Danio rerio: one gene and its partner. The main gene of each other region encodes a partner of the protein of the gene in region 2 in a complex. Links are inferred from orthologs where the notes say so. Each region holds a gene or a part of one and is shown on either strand. Other genes may lie near its edges. The genes, in order: casp9 and apaf1.

What was found.
Region 1: the proteins of apaf1 (region 2) and casp9 are in contact, whole or in part, in a crystal structure (PDB 4RHW), measured with the Homo sapiens proteins. The link is inferred for Danio rerio from reciprocal best matches to the Homo sapiens genes APAF1 and CASP9. Residues at the interface, in NP_863651.1 of Homo sapiens: Thr22, Ser23, Tyr24, Met26, Asp27, Ile30, Ser31, Ile37, Glu40, Glu41, Arg44; in NP_001220.2 of Homo sapiens: Asp23, Trp26, Asp27, Leu30, Arg36, Pro37, His38, Glu41, Gln44, Arg45.

What each region holds. Positions count from the first base shown.
Region 1 is NC_133198.1:27,923,150-27,926,977, reverse strand, and holds part of casp9 (caspase-9), read right to left. Parts: intron 3,720-3,828; coding exon 3,572-3,719; exon of another isoform or gene 3,088-3,571; intron 625-3,087; coding exon 433-624; intron 1-432. UniProt on the Homo sapiens protein: Involved in the activation cascade of caspases responsible for apoptosis execution. Binding of caspase-9 to Apaf-1 leads to activation of the protease which then cleaves and activates effector caspases caspase-3 (CASP3) or caspase-7 (CASP7).
Region 2 is NC_133179.1:18,442,957-18,446,784, reverse strand, and holds part of apaf1 (apoptotic protease-activating factor 1), read right to left. Parts: intron 3,209-3,828; coding exon 3,056-3,208; intron 2,596-3,055; coding exon 2,467-2,595; intron 1,802-2,466; coding exon 1,676-1,801; intron 1,572-1,675; coding exon 1,452-1,571; intron 991-1,451; coding exon 865-990; intron 110-864; coding exon 1-109. UniProt on the Homo sapiens protein: Oligomeric Apaf-1 mediates the cytochrome c-dependent autocatalytic activation of pro-caspase-9 (Apaf-3), leading to the activation of caspase-3 and apoptosis. This activation requires ATP. Isoform 6 is less effective in inducing apoptosis.

The DNA of each region.
Region 1 (3,828 bases), on a different chromosome or scaffold from region 2:
CATCATTTAACGATTAATTAGTTTTTCTGCATGCTTTTTATTGCATAACCAGAACAAAAATATACAAAAGTGGAGAAATAAGGTACTTGTAGTTTTTTTTACAGTAGCAACAAAGGAACAAACAAAAAAGTATTGAAAAAAATACAAATAAAAATACAATTGAACAATAATAAAAACATCTATAATTAATGAAAGTCAAGCATTTAGGCGAATTTCAAGTCACATCCTCCTTGCTTACAGCTAAAGCTACAGAATAGGCATTAGCAGAATTAAAAAAATAAATAAATAAAAAAAAACAAAAATTAACTTGGTTTGTCATACTGTGATTGCTATCATAACATAATATCTCAATTTATTATCATTATTTTTAGATCTTTCAGAGTTAATACGTTTAAGGGGGCTGAAATGACAGCCCCTGATCCAAACACAAACCTGGAAATGTTGAGTAGGACACCAGGATGTCACTGGGCGTGGGCAAACTTGCCCGTGCATCAAGTTCATCAGACGCTGTGCTGAGAGAGTCACTGCTAGAGGACATGGGAATAGCGTCCATCTCGTCATCTATCCCACCTATAGATGGTTGAACGTCATCTGGAGAAACCTCAAAACCAATATCCTTCTCACCTACAGGAGCAAACAATAGACAGTTCCATAGTTTGAAAAATAGCAATCAACATGGAAAACATTCAATTAAAATAAAGTCTTGGGTTGTTTAAATGGTTCCACTGATGTTTGGAGTCCATACACAAATGACTGTTTAGGCTGAAGACTGCATTGTGTGCCTTTAAAAATACTCAAATGTGCATCTTTGCACTTTACATATACTTAGATAGCACATTTCTTGTATTTGGGCCAAGTTTTCAACCTGCCTGTAGACTAACTTTGTATTTTCCCACTAGACACACTTGTAATGCAAGTGTTTACTAAGCTTCATTTTGATTTTTAATACTTAGGATTTTAAAATAAAGATCTAAATGAATGTTTGGTCTTACCTGTAACAGACAGTACAATGTAATAATACATATAATCATTTTAAATAATGTACCAATTTTACACATTCATCATTGCACGTTAGCACTTTGTTTATCCGCTGAGTGTTTTACACTTACTCTGCTGTACATTTAGTGTGTGTTAATGGTGCTACATGTTGGTGTTTTTAAGAGCTCATATAATCTTGTGTACTTCCTGTTGCATGCACACACTTTCAAAAGGCCAAGTGTGGGTGTTTGGACAGAGCCAAACTCTTGAATGCCCGGTTTTCATGACAGTCTTTTTGATGCAGTTTTTTTAATCAGTTTTCACCAACATTCGGTACAGATGGTGATAAGAGACATAACTTTAAACAAAATGAAGAAAATATGACAATGTCAGCATATGGTGTTTGACCACTTTGATGTGTCAACAACCACAAAAGCTAATCAAAGTGAGACAATTTGTACACTGGCGCATTGAGACATTTGCATACTAACTAATGATGCACACACATTAAAATTCTGGGCCAAAACCAAATATTGTGGATGCAAAACCTAGAGTGAAAATGCTTTGTTATCATATTTTTTTATTTTAATAAACAATAAGCAATCATTTTGTAGAACTTAAAAAAATATTACTCAATAACTTAAATTAAACTGATAAAAAAACACAAAAGTAAATAAAATAACCACATTTTATTGACAGTAAATATTTAAGAGAAGTGGCATTTTAAAAGTGTTGTGCACAGCTAGTGTTTCCTCCCATACCAATAAATATCTGGTGAACGGTTATTATGACTTTTTAAAAATTTTATACAGTTCCTTTTTCAACATCAATGTTTTAATGTAATTAAAATATAATAGACTTCAGCATTTATTTCACTGTTTAAGCGTAAAATTAGATAAAAAGCCTTTTACATGCACACCTCTGTCAGGATCAGCAGAAACTCTGAGGTAACTAAATTTTAAAGACATGTCATGGGAAAAATGTTATTTAATGCAGTGCTTCTTGTGCATTTTGAAACCCACTTCATATCGTAAATCAATCAGCCAGTGGAGATCGTTGATTTTTAAAGAAAACAGACCTAAACGCATTGATTTTGTAATGGCATACAGTTCACCGAAAGCATTTGACCCAGGTTACTGAAATATTAAAAGTTCATCGCATGCACCCTATAGCACTATTACAAGCAGCAAGAACAAGTATACTACATAGAAATTTCTTGTTGGCTTGTTATTTAAGCGTACATGAAAAAGTATATGAGAACATGAGCGAAATATCCACAGAGCGGAATATTGATCGTGGCACATGTTGGTCGAAACTGCTCTTGAGCGACACAAACCATTGAAATGAATGGGTTTCATAGACCAGTACTTTCCACATCCAGTGTGAAAGCTGCTTCACCTCAAGCAGTGACTATGGCTGGACGAAGACTAAAACCTGCCCACTAAACACTGCAAGCCAGTAATGCACAGCCTTTTTTGGGCTTATTTGTTGGCCTCCTTTCTTTTTCAGCTGAAGAGCAAAATACTATTTTTGGTTGATAATTTCTGGAGGCCTAACATTAACTGCATCACTAAAAAAAACTCATTCTCACTTGTGTAGGATACCGTTCTGTTAAACTTTATATAATGCATGTAAATATGCAAGTATCAACCATTATATTGCATTCCATAAAAGTCTCCACTTCATAATGGTCAATATGTTCATGTCTGCAAATATTAAAGAATCATCTTCAGAACTGCCACTTCAACGTAGTCAAACTCTGTGTGTTATATGACTACAGTATGATACTTTCTTAATTACTTACTCCCAGGGATGTTTATTTCGAAGTTGATATTTAGCCACACCATGTTGGTGTTTGGTGTTTCGTAACATCAAATTTTTATGAGGTGGGTCATTAGCCCAAGGTTCAACATACACACATACACTATGAACTATTTAGTTTTCCTAATACACCTATAGCGCATGTCTTAGGACTTGTGGGGGAAACCAGATCACCTGGAGGAAACCCACGCAAACACGGAAAGAACATGCAAACTCCACACAGAATTGCCAACTGACCCAGCCGGGGCTTGAACCAGCGACCTTTTTGCTGTGAGGCAACAGCGCTACATTTTGCCGACTACAGTATGATACCTTCCATAAATGATGCACACCATTCACTGTGCAACTCAAATTCTACTATGTGGACGGTGCACTTACAACATGCCTGAAAACTGAAGCTATTTTGATGGTGGCTGGCTGCAGTACAGGTCATAAACCTGACCCTCTCCATGTAAATGAATGTTACGAGAGTCAAAAAAAATAATCTAATTGCACTTTAAAGAAATTTTTCGACAGTATAAAGTAGTTCTTACCATGCTGATTGTGTTTTTTTTTAAATTTGGGACATTCTGACTTCACTTTTTTAATAATATGTTTGTCTTTTTTTTTACAGTCTATTATACAAGAGCATACATGAAATGTTGAGGCAGAAGAACCCACTAGGCTCACATGTGTAAACTCGTTCCTCTCCTGTCATGTAGTTGCTTAAATGGCTTAAATGTGTCAGCAATTTTTAGCTACAAGACTCGTAAAACATTTTTAAGGTGCCCACCTCCTCCGCAGGCCTGGATGAAAAATAACTTGGGCTTGCCCTGAAGAGAAGGACAGTTCTGGCCATTGAGGTAGTTTGTGATTATCTGAATTGGGACAGCCGGTCCGTCAACACCATGAACTGCACCAGGGAATCGATTATGGCTTGCCTGAACATTAAAAAAGCACAAAAGAACCACAATATAATTTGGTAGTAGGATCCTATTTTGATGTTCTCCAAAATGAGGAAGCAATCAAAACCGCTCATGCAAACAAATG
Region 2 (3,828 bases):
TACCTGTCTCTAGCCCTAATGCCATCACAAAATCACGCTGTATGTTCAGCAGCTGCAAGGCTCTCCATCCAACAGTCTTCAGAAACTGTCGAACTTTCAGCCTTCCTGTCTGTGCAAACATACAAAACATAGACCTCATCTCTCTACAGCAACCCTTCATTGTTCCACTGATGTCTGACTTTCCTTGAGGTGGGGGAGATTATGCAATTAATAAATACATAGTGCATCGTTATATGGCATCTATATTTCCTGCAAGATTAAAAATGAAATGCATTAGATGTCCATTTCACACTAGTTGCAATTTGGCGCCCTCTGGTGTCTTGGAACTTTGCAGGAAAAAAGATTTAGATTTGTTTAGATTAAACATAACTACAAACTGTAAATCCAGAAAATCCAAGAAAACACTAAAGTTAACTGAAGTGTTTAAGCATTACAAAAATAACCAAGTGTACGTGTGTACATAAACATTATTTGTCTCGGTCAACAACACATTGATTATATAATGAACCGATTATTTTCATCCATGTCACACTTTCTAAAATCTAAAATGTTTGTTTGGCAGTAGAGGAGGAGTGTGATATATGCGAGAACACACTTTCGTTCTGTCAGTCAGCTGTTACCTCCAGGCATCTTAACTGTCCCAAATATCCAGTACAACACAAGAGGACAACACCCGCCTCCAGCACCATCAAACACAGCAGAGAGTGAAGAAAACACTGACTGCAGATGACAGCCATGGCAAAATCTCATCGCCGGAGGACAGTCAAAACACCTACTAGCATCCCCTGAAGGTCTGACAGTGCTTCGCATGGCCAAAATGAAGGTAAGGTTTTTTTAAGAATTGGATTAGGTGAGGTGATGCACCTGTACTGTTCCGTCCTCAGATCCCAGAGCCACAAATGCAGCGTTTCTGCTGATGCACGAACAGCGGATCCTGGATGACAGCTCCTCGCTCTCAAGCACGACAGCACCTGTAGATCCACTCAGCACCTGTGACAGTTTGGTAGTAATAAATTAGTAGCTTAAAATTGAAATGATTAGAACTTGCCTCAAGACAAAAAGTTAAACTGATCTGTACAACAAAAAAAAAAAAAAACTATGTACAAAAATGTACCTCACCTCACACACAATGTTAATACATTTGATTCAACTTAATTCAAATACTACATGTTTAATAAAAAAAATTAATGATCAAATTCATTAATTGCTTGAAATTAATAAATTGATTAAAAATAAATAAATCTTGATATGAATTAATGTTAAATTTAAAATGCTCGCTTTTAAAATGTGAGAACGGCAGTAAAATAATTGAACCATTAAAAAATAAAAAATAAAAAAAAGGAACCGATTTTAATATTTCTTAACAAAAATAAACAGATCAAATGAGCAAAAAAATCCTAGTAAAAATGGCAGTACATCAACTAATTGCACTGGTCCCTTGTGTCCAGTACCTGTAATCTGTTACTGCTATCGGGTGCGATGATCGTAGCATCACTGTGAGAGAACAGCACATCAGTGTCCCTCTTCAGAGCCACAGCAGAAGAAGTGTGAACCCGGTCCGTCTCCCACAACTGGATAACATTCAACACTTCATGATCACAGGTCAGTGCTGTTCAAAAGATCGCTGTAATGCAACTGACACAACGCAGGGAAGACGGGAGTAAAAGCAACTCACCCTGATAGTCTGATCATCAGAGGAGGACAGCAGGAGTGAGCCGTCGGGTGAAAACTGCACACAGTGAACCCAGCTCAGATGACCACTGCATTCGGCTTTCTTCTTACTGCTTTCGAAGTTCCACAGCTGAAATAAACAACACTTCTTAGCACTTCACCACACTTATGCCAGCCAGAATTACTTCAACCAGAGTTAACAAAAAAAACAAAAAACACAAAAACATGGCTTCCCTACAATAAAATCAATCACTGATTTTATGATCACTTTCTTCAAAACCTATGGCTTTATTAGCTTCAATTATTGTATTTTGCTGTGAAAGCACTAAAAGTTTGTAAAATAGAACAAAACTACATATAAATATTTTTTTAATCTTAGAAGGACAGGACTTCCAAAATCCCAGAGGGACTGTGTAACAGCGTTAGAAAAAATTATACATGATTTATGAATAAAATAAAATTATTTAAATTAATTCAATCTAAAAAATATATATAAAATCTAAAATAAAACACTGGTTATGTTCAAAAACCTTAGAACAGTTATTGGCATACAGCAATAGGTTTTTAAATACGCACGCAAAAAGTTAAATTACACATTTTTATATCTCAGTTATGCTTGAATGGTTAATTACTTTAAGGATAGCATAGATTAACATCATACTACAACAATTGCAGTATCCATAGATGTTTCGCATGTCCAAAGTCTAGTCACTGCAGCTTTACATGTTAATTGCCATATCAGTAAATTATTGATGTTTAATAATGTTTTAAAGAAAGTCATGATCAGTTTTGTACCTCTACGGTGTAATGCGAGAGAGCGACGGCCAGCAGGCTGCTGTTAGGACACGCATGACAGAACTGAATAGTGCTCAGACGACTCGTCTTCAGCTCCAGCAGCAGGTCTGACGTCTCCACATCAAACACCTACACACAAACACACAACATACAATCAGAAAACAAACCAATCTCATCTAACAGCTTGAGTATGTTGAGTACGTAAGTTATGTTTTAGAAATACTTTCAAACTCAGCATTTATTACAGAAGATTAAGCCAGTTAAGCCTTTTAAACCAAATGTCTTAGTTTCTTCTGCTAACACCATTTCATATCCTGAAAACACTCAATCATTGACCTCCGTAGTAGAGGAAAAATACAATGGAAGTCAATCTCCAATGGTTTCCAACATAACTTAAATGTCTTCTTTTGTAATCAACAGAAGAAACAATGCCATGGAGAATTACATTTAATTTTAGGTTAAACTGGCTATTTAATTTTGACTGTGTGTGAATCAGATTTTAAAAAGGCTGTATTTACAGGCACCAAATCAAAAATATTGAGTGGCAGTGCCAGCTCATTTCACAGCAACCACTCATGAAATCACTTACAAACACTGTGTTTCTGGCAGCACAGATGATTTGTGAGCCGTCAGCCGACCAAGTGCTGCATTTCACCATGGCCTTTATTTCTTCGTCACTCTCAGGAAAAAAACTATCGACATCAATTGATTTCCACTCGTTCGCAGATGACACTTCAAACAGCTGACAAAAAAAAAAAAACACAATTTAAGTGGTTGGTGAGTTAGTATATTTCACCCCTCTACTTTATATAATATGGTTAGGTTTTCATTTATATTCTGACTGTCTATACCTGATCAGGTATTACTTATAAAATAATCTAGCATTTATTCTATTTATATTACAATTGTTCAAACTTCTTTAGATTTAATTTCTATAGTTTCTATAGTTTAGATATAAACTATCAACATGTAAGAAATTTATTACTGATAAAACCTTTAAATCTGACCAAGCATTTATCCATCTAGTTGATTTTAAACTAATACCCAGTTACTAACAAACAAAATATTCCTTAAAAAAATACATTAATGGAATCCATTTATATATAAATACTACATCAAATTTAAATTGCTAAATGCAATAATATAGCATTTTCGGGTACTCAAAATGGTTTCCTCAGCCACCACAGGCATGCAGGAATGCATTCTGCACCAGACCCACACACCAGCTAATTGATTGATAGAGGGATGAAGCCAATTAGATAATATGGGAATGATTGGGAGGCCATAATCGACAGGCTAGTGGGCAAGTTTGGCCAGGATGCCAGGCATACGCCCTTACTCTGATTATATAAATATAATGCA